Linked DNA regions of Anolis sagrei. The protein of the gene in region 3 purifies or fractionates together with the protein of the main gene of each other region. This does not show direct contact. Links are inferred from orthologs where the notes say so. Each region holds a gene or a part of one and is shown on either strand. Other genes may lie near its edges.

Region 1 (3,754 bases), on a different chromosome or scaffold from region 3:
GCCACCGGGGGCTCCATCTCAGGTTGTTAATAGGAACAGAGCTCACAACTCCTCTGTTGCGCCAGCTCCACTGCTGCCAGTTTGCTTCTGGGCACAATTCAAAGTGCTGGCTTTAGCCTATAAAGTCCTAAGTGGTTCTGGATCTGCTTACCTATCCGAAAGTATCTCTCCTTATGAACCATCTAGGACACGAAGATCTTTTGGAAAGGCCCTACTCACAGTCCCACCTTCCTCACAGATGTGTTTGGCGGGGACAAGACATAGGGTCTTCTCAGTAGTGGCCCCTCAATTGTGGAACGCCCTTCCCAGGGATATAAGAGAGGGCCCCTCCCTCCTGACTTTTCGAAGAAAGGTTTAAACCTGGCTTTTGAGCAGGCTTTTGCTAATCCAGCATAATTATACGAAATCATGGAACGACCTGATGATGCAATTGAATAACGATTTTAACAAGGAGGCGCTCACAATAATGGTTTTATGGCTTTGTACGGTTTTTATATTTTTATATTTTACATAAATGCTTTTAATGGTATTTTATGATTGTTTTATTTCTTGAGGCATCAAATGTTGCCAACTGTGAACGCCCCGAGTTGCCTTCGGGCTGAGAAGGGCGGTATACAAATATGGTAAATAAATAAATAAATTTTATTGATTTATGTTTTATTAGGTTTTACCTTTTATGTATAACTGTTTGATGGATTTTATATTCTGGTATGCTCTATGCCACCTTGGGTCTGCGCTGTGGAGAAAGGTGGGGTAGAAATGCTTCAAATAAATAAATAAATAAACAAACACTATAACTCCTAAAATGCCAATCTAACATGATTGATGGCCCTACCAGGTGGAGGTGGGTGGGAGTTGCAGTCTAACTTACCAACATTTCCAGGCTTTATGGTTATATAAAATAAACATCCAGCATTTTGATTGATTGCTTCTTGGCTGCATTAAAATAGGTAGGCATGAAACAGATCTGGCGTCATAACAAGTCTGGGGTCATAAGGAAAAGGCTACTTATAGCAGGCTGGATGACAACAGCTGTGTCACACTTGTGGGCAGAATGTCTTCAGGACGCCCAATGTCAAATCAGGATTTGCTTTCTCCTTTTGCTGGTGAGAGAGTCTTTCATTCCGGTGATATTAAAAGAAGACGGTCCTCCCTTTATGCCTGGAACAGTTTAGTGCTTTACCATGGCTGCCAATGCCAGTCCTAACACAGATGGATTTTGCATGGAAGAAAACAAAGATAATGTGTATGAAACAGTCCTTGGTGAGATTAAATACTTGGAGCTGCCCCTGGGAATCACTTTAGGGTGAGTATCTCCTGCCAAGAATGTACTTTATGCTCCTTCCGCTGGGTTTGTTGTAAAATATTCAGAGCAATTATACTATATTTTCTTATTTTAATAAAAACAGACCTAGTTATAAACCAGCCTGTACAGGTTGACATCCCAAAGCTGAAAATGCATTCTTTGTTTTCAATTACTATGATGAAAAGCATTTAAGTTCAGGATGTTAAGAGGCTGTTCTTAAAAAATACTTTTCTCATTCCCATTTCTGATCAAAATGTGTGATGGAATTATTTGTTTTAGGTCTATCTTTGTGGTGGTATGGCTAACAGGTTTTTACTAACAGCTGAAATGTTGATTTATGACGATATATTTATATCTTCCGTTCTTATGCTAAAGAAACAAATAATGCAGTTGTTTTTGGGGGGAAGGGGTTGCACTTCATATACGAATTGCCTGTTAAACATATGCATGCTTCTAGATAAGTCTACATAATTAAATACAGAATTATCTGATATTTGTAATAGAAGATTAACTTACCCTGTGTTAAAATATAGCAATTAGCAAACAAAAAAAGGCAAATCTCTTCATGATTTTTTTTTGTCGTAATGCATATCAGATTACATGGTATCATATTCGAGTTTATTTATAGTAGCTCATGGGAGTATTTTAAAATAACATAGCTGTACTTGTGTGTATTGATTTACGAAGAAGATTACACTGCAGAAACTATTAGTATAAGACACTTGATTTGTCCTGTAATATCTGTGCATCATCATATAATGTAAATAAGGTGATGAAGCATTTTTGTACCAGGTTTTCATAAAGTTGTCATAGGGCCCTTCCACATAGCCATATAACCCAGAATATCAAGGCAGATAACTCATAATATCTGCTTTGAACTGGATTATCTGAGTCTATACTGCCATATAGCCCAGTTCAAAGCACATAATATGGGATTTTATAAGAAATAAGAAAGGGTTGCAGCAGTTATTGTTGCCAGGGTGGGCATGCTTCACTGTTCACTTTCAACATATTTCTTTTCTGTTTCCTCCATTCCACTTTTCCTTGGAATTGTAGTTTGGTGAGATGCCAACACTTTTTGACAGGGAAAGCTATATTTATTTATTTATTTATTTACTGCATTTGTTGACCGCCGTTCTCAGCCCTAGGGCGACTCCCGGCGGTGTACAACATATAAAAACAGTTTACAATAAGGCAATAACACAACAAATATCAACAACAACAATAATACAAATTACACTAAATCATCCGCGCCGTCTCATCTTGGAATCATAAACCAAACTCGTAATCCATATTCCGTTCCAGTCGTCATTGCCAATTGTTGTGGCACTTAGTCAAACGCCTTCTCAAATAACCATGTCTTTAGGCTCTTGCGGAATGACATAAGGGAGGGCGCCTGTCTGATGTCTGCAGGGAGGGTGTTCCACAGCAGGGGCCACCACCGAGAAGGCCCTATCCCTCGTCCCCGCCAGACGTGCCTGTGAGGCAGGCGGGATCGAGAGAAGGGCCTCCCCAGACGATCTCAAGGTCCTCGTGGGCTCATAGGTCGAGATGCGGTCAGAAAGGTATTTGGGCCGGAACCGTTTAGGGCTTTGTAGGCCAACACCAGCACCTTAAATTGGGCCCGGTAGCAGATCGGCAGCCAGTGGAGCTGGAACAACAAGGGCGTTGTGTGCTCCCTGCGTCCCGCTCCTATAGATCTTGTAAAACTACAACTCCCATGATTCCATAGCTCTGAGCCATGGATGTTAAAGTAGTGTCAAACTGCATTAATTCTACGGTGTTGATGCACTTTGGGACTAACATTTGGTTATAAAATACATTACAGCGACATAACAGCTAAAGTAATGTGAAATACATTGTGTGTGTGTGTGCACAAGCACACACATACATTCTTATTAAAAACATAAGTTTAGAACTGCTTAAAAACATGTAAATGATAATAATGAAGATATTCATTGCACAGTGCCTTGGTAGTCCTGGTGAGTTGAAAGCCGATAGGCAATTATTGAAATAGAATACCAAGCCGTCACGGAAGAAGTCGACGTTCTGTTTCCGCAACCAGCAACTAGCGTCTCACAGTTGTCTCAATGTCTTCATCAGAAGCATAATGATGTCCCCACAGATCTTCTTTCATTATCGGGAACAGATGGAAGTCAGACGGTGCTAAATCTGGACTGTATGGAGGGTGTCATATGGTGGTGAGATCCAGTCTCTGAAGTTTCAAGTCTGTGTGCTTTAATTTAAGGAGTCAGCATCCTGAGTACCCATCGTGCACAGATCTTCCGATAGCCAAGCAAAGCAGTAATGTGACCCACACGTTCTTTTGAAATGCCAACTATGCTTGAAATTTCTCTCTGAGTGATACTATGATCATCCTGAATCAATCTGTCAACCTTTTGCTTGTGAAACTCGGTGGTTGCTGCTACAGGACCTCCAACTCTTTGT
Region 2 (3,754 bases), on a different chromosome or scaffold from region 3:
TGCATAGGACTCTGGCTCTCTTCTTGTTTTAGCTTTTGGTGCAGTTTGTAAATCGGGGGGGGGGGGGCACCCACTATTAACAGAGGACACACATCCCATTACAGAGCAGAAAGATCATCTAAGCCTAACAGGATACCAAAACAAACAAACAAATTAGGAGGGCAACCTGGGCCTTCTGGATATCCTCCAGAGGTGCAACTTCTATTGGTTTTGTCATTTTTGTCATTTATTTCTTTATTGAACTGCCATCTGTCAGGGTGCTTTGATTGTATATTCCTGCATGACAGAATGGGGTTGGACTGGATGGCCCTTGGGAGGTTTCTTCCAACTCTGTGATTCAACAACTACACTGTATATCCTGGCACCTTTATACTCAAAGCTACCTTCTATTATTTCTGGGTGCCTTCAAGTCATTCCAGCCTTATGCGACTAGGGATTCAGCTTGTGCTGGACGGGGTCACATTCTCCTGAAGACATAGGTCCGCAGTTTGGGAGTTCTCCTGGATCTGGAGGTCCATGTGTTGAAAGTGGCTGCGAGGACCTTTGCACAATTAAAACTTGTGTGCTAATTCCTTGAGAAGCCAGATCTCGCCACGGTAGTCCATGCCTTTGTAACATCCCATCTGGATTACTGTTATGCGTTCTACGTGGAACTGCCTCTGAAGAGTGCTGGGAAACTTCAGCTGTTCCAAAGAGCTGCAGCCAGGTTGCTCACTGGGGTTGGCTGCAAGGAGCTGACAACCCCCTGTTGAAGAAGCTGCACTTGCTGTCTATCTGTTTCCGGGCACAATTCAAAGTGCGGGTTATGACCTTTAAAGCCCTAGACAGTTCAAGTCCAGGCTATTTGACCGACCACATCCCCTTGTATGAACCTGCCTGGGCCCTGTGATCTTCAGGAGAGGCCCTTCTCTCAGTCCCACCTCTATCTCAAGTCCAGTTGGTGGGAAAGAGAACAGGCCTTCCTTCTTGGTGGCGGCCCCTCGACCCTGGAACTCCCTTCTCCCCAGGAAAGCCAGAACAGTCCCCTTCAGACAGAAAGTTAAACCCTTTTTAGTCAGGCAGGCTTTTAAAGAAGAAGGTTTTTTAAGGTCATCAGGGGCTGCTGTGATTTTATATGCTTTTTATGATGTTTAATACTGTTTTAATACTTGTATATTTGTATATTTTTAGACTGTATTGCAATGCTTTTAGTTGTGATCCGCTTTGAGTAGCCGTATGGAGAGAAAAAGCGGGGTATTTGTTATTTATTATTTCACATATTTGTATCTCGCCTTTCTCACCCTAAAAGGGGACTCAGGGCGGCTTTACAACAGGCCGCAATTTTATGAAAATACATATAAATACAAAAATAAACAAATACAATTAAAACCATACAATTAAACATTTTAATCAGAAATAAACATAATCATAATAATAACTCAATTAATTGTAACACTCAGGCAGATAGCAACAAAAAGAAAAAGAAAAGAAATAATACTTTAAATTTAAAAATGCTGTTTTTAGAATATCATAAAACAATAAAACTGTGTTACAATAAATTTGCCCTTTCTGTCTCAATATGCTTTCAATTATTGTGTTTCAATATTAACACCAATCCAGTTATAGAGCTTATGGGATGGCATTGTATGGGGCATAGTATTACTGAGGCCTGCTCTTAGTAATAACTCTCAAGCAACCAGAAGCTACTTTCATATTGATCCCCATTGGTACCAGTTAACTGAGAGTCTGCTGCTATTATGAAAAATCTGCCTAAACATAGTCATAACACTTAAAATATATTCAAATCCTGTGTTATACTTTAAAGGACTGAAAACAAGCACACACACACACCCTCCACCTCACACACACAATATAGTCCAGGCCTGAGCAAACTTAGGCCCTCCAGGTGTTTTGGACTGCAACTCCCACCATTCCTAACAGCCTCAGGCCCTTTCCTTTTCCCCCTCAAGGAAGGGGCCTGAGGCTGTTAGGAATGGTGGGAGTTGGAGTCCAAAACACCTGGAGGGAGGGCCCAAGTTTGCCCAGGCCTGGTATAGCCTCATGACTCAATGCCGTGGCCGGGGGCTGATGGCGCTGCAGCCTCCTGCTCCTCCTTGAGGCCCCACCTGCTTGAGCTTCTCCTCTATCTCTCTCCTCCGGGCCGAGGCCTCCTCCGTGGGAATCATCCCGACCCGAGGCCGGCCCTGGACTGCTCCAAGGCCTCCGCTGAAGCGCCTTCCAGCTCCTGTCAACACTCACTCCACTTCCGCCTCATTCCCCGCCTTTTCCGGTCCGAGAAGGTCGCCATCTTGAGAGAGGCAGGGGAAAATTCCCCGGCGAATGGAAGAGCGCCCTCCGAATCTGTCGAACCCGCAAAGCTAGTGTCAGAGGGAGTGCTACTGCGCATGTCACAAGCCTATTGGGCGAGGCGCCGAACGCCCCCTAGTGGGAGACCCGCAAGGAGAGGAATGTGCTAAAATAACCATCCCTGAAGGTGTGTCTGCACTGTAGAATAAATGCGGTTTGACACTCCTTTAACTACCATGAGATTTTTAGCTTGATGAAATACCAGCAGTCTTTTGCAGAGAAGGCTAAAGACCTTGTAAAGCAGGCATGGGCAAACTTTGTCCCTCCAGGTGTTTTGGACTTCAACTCCCACAATTCCTAACAGCCTTCTGAATTTTATTAGTATGTTATGAATTAAGTTTGATTTGGTTGTATGTTTACTATTACTCTATTGTGTTTCTTCTTTTGTAAGTCCCTTGGGGAGATGGTAGCAGGGTACAAATAAAGTTTATTATTATTATGATGATGATGATTATTATTATTATTATTATGATGATGATTAGCTGCCCCAAGTCGTTTTGGGGAGAAGTGGTGGGATGTAAATAAAGATTATTATTATTATTATTATTATTATTATTATTAGAAACACAACAAGATTAGAACACATTAAACAAGTTCGCCATGCTGGCTTAAGTGCAGGCCAAGGTCCCAGATCACTGGGACCACCTTTACTGGCTTGTGCCAGAGTTTTTGCAGTTTGATGTATTATTATTATTATCATTATTATTATTAGACACACAAAAAGATTAGAACACATTAAACAAGTTCGCCATGCTGGCTTTTGTATTTGATCACATGTCGGACACTCCCCAAGTGTCTAGGACTGTGTGATGTATCAGCGAATAATGTGTGCAGATCTGAGTAGGATGTCCTTTTGCAGCTGACAGATGGTGATTTTGTCAGTGCCAAATGTTTTTAAGTGCAGGCCAAGATCTTTAGGCACTGCACCCAGTGTGCCGATCACCACTGGGACCACCTTGACTGGCTTGTGCCAGAGTTTTTGCATTTCAATCTTTTAATCTTTATATTGTGTCAGCTTTTCCAGTTGCTTCTCGTCAATGCTGCTGTCACCTGGGATTGCAACATCGGTGATCCATACTTTGTTTTTTGTTTTTCCCAGGATTGTGAGGTCAGGGGTATTGTGCTCCAAAACTCTGTCAGTCTGAATTCAGAAGTCCCGGAATAGATTGATGTCTTGATTTTGTGTAACTTTTTCAGACTTGTGATCCCACCATTTATTTATTTATTTATTTATTCTACAAATGTGGTAAGAAACAAGTGAAATGCAGTGTCCATCTTTTAAAAAAACTTTATCCAAAATATCTTATCCACTAGATGTCCCTGTGCGCTGATCTTGAGGGGGAAATAGTAAAGGTTGAATGCTTTGTTTGCTTTGGCCAATCCCCAATTCTTACACTCAGGACATGTC
Region 3 (3,754 bases):
ATTATATGCTAATCAAGGTGATCAGTTGTAACATTCACACCTAGCTCCAGCAGACAAGAGTCCTTTGTCCCACCCTGGTCATTTCACAGATATATAAACCATTTTTCCTAGTTCCAACAGACCTCACTACCTCTGAGGCTGCTTGCCATAGATGCAGGCGAAACGTCAGGAGAGAATGCCTCTAGACCAGTGGTTCTCAACCTGTGAGTCCCCAGATGTCGTAGCCTTCATTTCCCAGAAATCCTAACAGCTGGTAAACTGGCTGGGATTTCTGGGAGTTGTAGGTCAAAACACCTGGGGACCCACAGGTTGAGAACCACTGCTCTTCCTTGCCGCCCTACATAAGAGCCATGCGTGACTTAGGGCCTTTTACTCTCGCACTTAAGACCTGGCGTTTTACTAGAGCATTCGATCTGTTAATTCTTAATTTTTGTATGTATGTATTTTATCTTTTATAATTTAGCTGTAAATCGTCTAGAGCATTCTCGGATGGAGGGCGATTCATAAGTTATTAAATGATGATGATGATGCTCTAGACCATGGCCATATAGCCCGAAAAAACCTACAACAACCCAGTGATTCCAGCCATGAAAGCCTTCGACAATACTTCAACAATACACTGTCAAGATAGTTTTGGGCTAAGTGAGTCTACACTGCCATATATTCCAGTTTAAAGCAGATAATGTGGGACTTTATACAGCTGTATGGAAGGGGCTGAGGATGTCAAACTGCCTCCTTTGCAAAAGAGAAACTGCAAAAAAAAAAAAAAAAAGAGGCCTCACAACCTCTAAGGATGCTTGCCATAGATGCAGGCGAAACTTCAGGAGAGAATGCCTCACAGTGGTTCTCAACCTGGGGTTCCCAGATGTTTTTGGCCTTCAACTTCCAGAAATCCTAACAGCTGGTAAACTGGCTGGGATTTCTGGGAGTTGTAGGCCAAAAACATCTGGAGACCCCAGGTTGAGAACCACATGGCCATATAGCCCGAAAAAATCCTACAACAACTCAGAAACTGCATCCTTTGCTCCTTCCCGCAAGGCTCTGCCACGACCGGAAGTGAGGAGAGACACCCAGCACCGGAAGTTCCAATGTGCGTCCCTCTCTAGCGCCAGAAACTCGTCTCTCCCTTTTCCCCGTCTCCACAGTCTGCATGGACTTCCGCTTCCTTGCCCTGCCCACGCGACTGAAGCAGGCGCTGCGATTGGAAGACGGGGGATGGGGAGGCGGGTCTTTCGGGGCTGGGCGTGACAGGCGTCTCTGGAGGCAGCGGAGGGGCCTCAGTCCTGGCTCTGAGGGTAAGGAGAGCAGGGCGGGGAGGGAAGGGCCCTGTGCCAGGCCAGCCAGAGGGCTTTCTGTTGTAAAGCCCTTCCCCTTGTTTTCCTTTATCTTCTTCATCCTCTCTCTCCAAATGTGTGTTATGTTCGTTGGAGTCTTTTTCTCCCCAAGGTTTGCTTAGAAGAGGCCTTCCCTTCCTCTGAGGCTGAGAGGGTGTGACAGGCCTAAGGCCTCCCACTGGGTTTGCCATGGCCTTCACAGTGAAGAAATAAGGCATTTGACACCACTTGAACTTTAACTACTATGAAATTATGGGAGTTGTAGTTTTACAATGTCTTTAGCCTTCTTTGCCTGAGAGGGCTGGTGCCTCAACAAACTAAAAAAGATTGCATAACCATCTGCATTGATTCGACAGTATGGTTCTATCCATAATCCAACATTTATTTATTTCTAGCACTTTTACCCCGTCCTTCTCAACCCCCAAAGGGGGATTCAGGACGGCTTACACTTGGCAACAATTTGATGCCGTTACATATAACAATACAATAAAACAACAATTAAAACAATAAGTAAAGCATTAATTACAACCATAAAAACAGTAATGTCAGGCATATCACCATTCCAGTCGAATTCCACATCCAAAGTGCTATTATGCCTGCTGTCCAAAAGCCTGGTCCCAGAACCATGATTTTAATTTCTTCCTAAAAAAAACAGGAGGGATGAGGCCGATTTTATCTCGTTGGGAAGCGAGTTTCACAGACGGGGAGCGACAGCCGAGAAGGCCCTGTCTCTTGTCCCCACCAGATGCATTTGCAACGCTGGCTGGAGAAAAAGCAGGGCCTCCCCAGATGATCTTAAACTGCGAGGTGGAATGCGTTCGGACAAGTAAGCTGGGCCAGAACCATATAGAGCAGGGGTCCTCAAAGTAAGGCCCGGGGGCTGGATACGGCCCTTCAAGGTCATTTACCCGGCCCTCGCTCAGGGTCAACCTAAGTCTGAAATGACTTGAAAGCAGAAAACAACAACAATCATATCTCATCAGCCAAAAGCAATACCACACTTCCCATTGAAATAGTAATAAGTTTATATTCGTTGAAATTGTTTTTCATTTCAATTATTGTATTCTTTTAAAGTTTTTTTCCCTACTACAAATAAGATATGTGCAGTGGGCTTAGGAATTCATTCATGTTTTTTTCAAATTATAATCCGGCCCTCCAACAGTTTGAGGGACTGTGACGTGGCCCTCTGTTTAAAAAGTTTGAGGACCCCTGATATAGAGCTTTATAGGTCAAGACCAGCACTTTGAATTGTGTTCGGAAATGGACCAGCAGCCAGTGGAGCTGACACAGCAAGGGGGTGGTATGCTCCCTGTATGTCGTTCCAGTTAGTAATCTGGCTGCCACTCATTGGACTAGTTGGAGATTCTGAACAGTCTTCAAAGGCAGCCCTATGTAGAGTGCGTTGAATTAATCTATTCGGGATGTAATAAGAGCATGGACCACCGTAGCCAGATCAAGATACAGGTGCAGCTGGCGCACAAGTTTTAACTGTGCAAAAGCTCCCCTGGCCACCACCGAGATCTGGGGTTCCAGACTAAGCGATGAATCCAGGATCACTCCCAAGCTGCAAACCTGCATCTTCAGAGGGAGTGTAACCCCATCCAATACAGGCTGTAACCCTATGCCCTGTTTGGCCTTTCGACTGACCAGAAGGACCTCTGTCTTGTCTGGATTCAATTTCAATTTCTTAGCCCTCATCCAGTCCGACAGCTGCCAAGCACTGGTTCAAGGTCTGGATAGCCTCCTTAGTAATGGGTGGGAAGGAGTGACAGATTTGGACGTCATCTGCATACAGATAATATTGCACTCCGAAACTCCAGATGATCTCCCCCAGCTGCTTAATGTAGATGTTAAACAACATCGGGGACAATACTGAACCCTGAAGGACTCCACAAGACAATGGTTGTGGAGTCGAACAGGTGTCACCCAGTAACGCCTTCTGGGACTGTCCCTCCAGGAAGGACCAGAGCCACTGCAAAGCAGTACCTCCAAGTCCCATTCTTGTAAGGCATCTCAGAAGGATACCGTGGTCAACGGTATCGAAGGCCGCTGAGAGGTCCAGCAGAACCAACGGACACACTCCCCCTCTCAAGCTCCCGGCGTAGTTCATCTACTAAGGCGACCAGGGCTATTTAGGTTCCATGTCCTGGCCTAAAGCCAGACTGCCAGATATAGATAATCGGTGTCTACCAAGAACCCCTGGAGTTGTGAAGCCACCACACATTCCATGACTTTGCCCAAATAGGGGAGATTGGAAACTCACATTCAAACCACTACCCTAGGCATGGGAAAACGTTGGCCCTCCAGGTGTTTTGGACTTTAACTCCCACAATTCCTAACAGCCTACATTTATATGACACCCTATATTTGTGTGTGTATTAACATTTATTTAAAAACTGTCCATATAAAATATAGGGCCC

What was found.
Region 1: the proteins of EXOC1 (region 3) and EXOC6 purify together in Homo sapiens (affinity purification with mass spectrometry; 4 studies listed by BioGRID and IntAct, counting the BioPlex papers as one, with this or other methods). This does not show direct contact. The link is inferred for Anolis sagrei from reciprocal best matches to the Homo sapiens genes EXOC1 and EXOC6.
Region 2: the proteins of EXOC1 (region 3) and EXOC7 purify together in Homo sapiens (affinity purification with mass spectrometry; 4 studies listed by BioGRID and IntAct, counting the BioPlex papers as one, with this or other methods). This does not show direct contact. The link is inferred for Anolis sagrei from reciprocal best matches to the Homo sapiens genes EXOC1 and EXOC7.

Annotation. Positions count from the first base shown.
Region 1 is NC_090023.1:186,661,744-186,665,497, reverse strand, and holds the start of EXOC6 (exocyst complex component 6), read left to right. Parts: upstream 1-1,044; 5' UTR 1,045-1,184; coding exon 1,185-1,306; intron 1,307-3,754. UniProt on the Homo sapiens protein: Component of the exocyst complex involved in the docking of exocytic vesicles with fusion sites on the plasma membrane.
Region 2 is NC_090022.1:118,826,807-118,830,560, forward strand, and holds the start of EXOC7 (exocyst complex component 7), read right to left. Parts: upstream 2,288-3,754; 5' UTR 2,166-2,287; coding exon 2,106-2,165; intron 1-2,105. UniProt on the Homo sapiens protein: Component of the exocyst complex involved in the docking of exocytic vesicles with fusion sites on the plasma membrane.
Region 3 is NC_090025.1:73,466,297-73,470,050, reverse strand, and holds the start of EXOC1 (exocyst complex component 1), read left to right. Parts: upstream 1-1,197; 5' UTR 1,198-1,295; intron 1,296-3,754.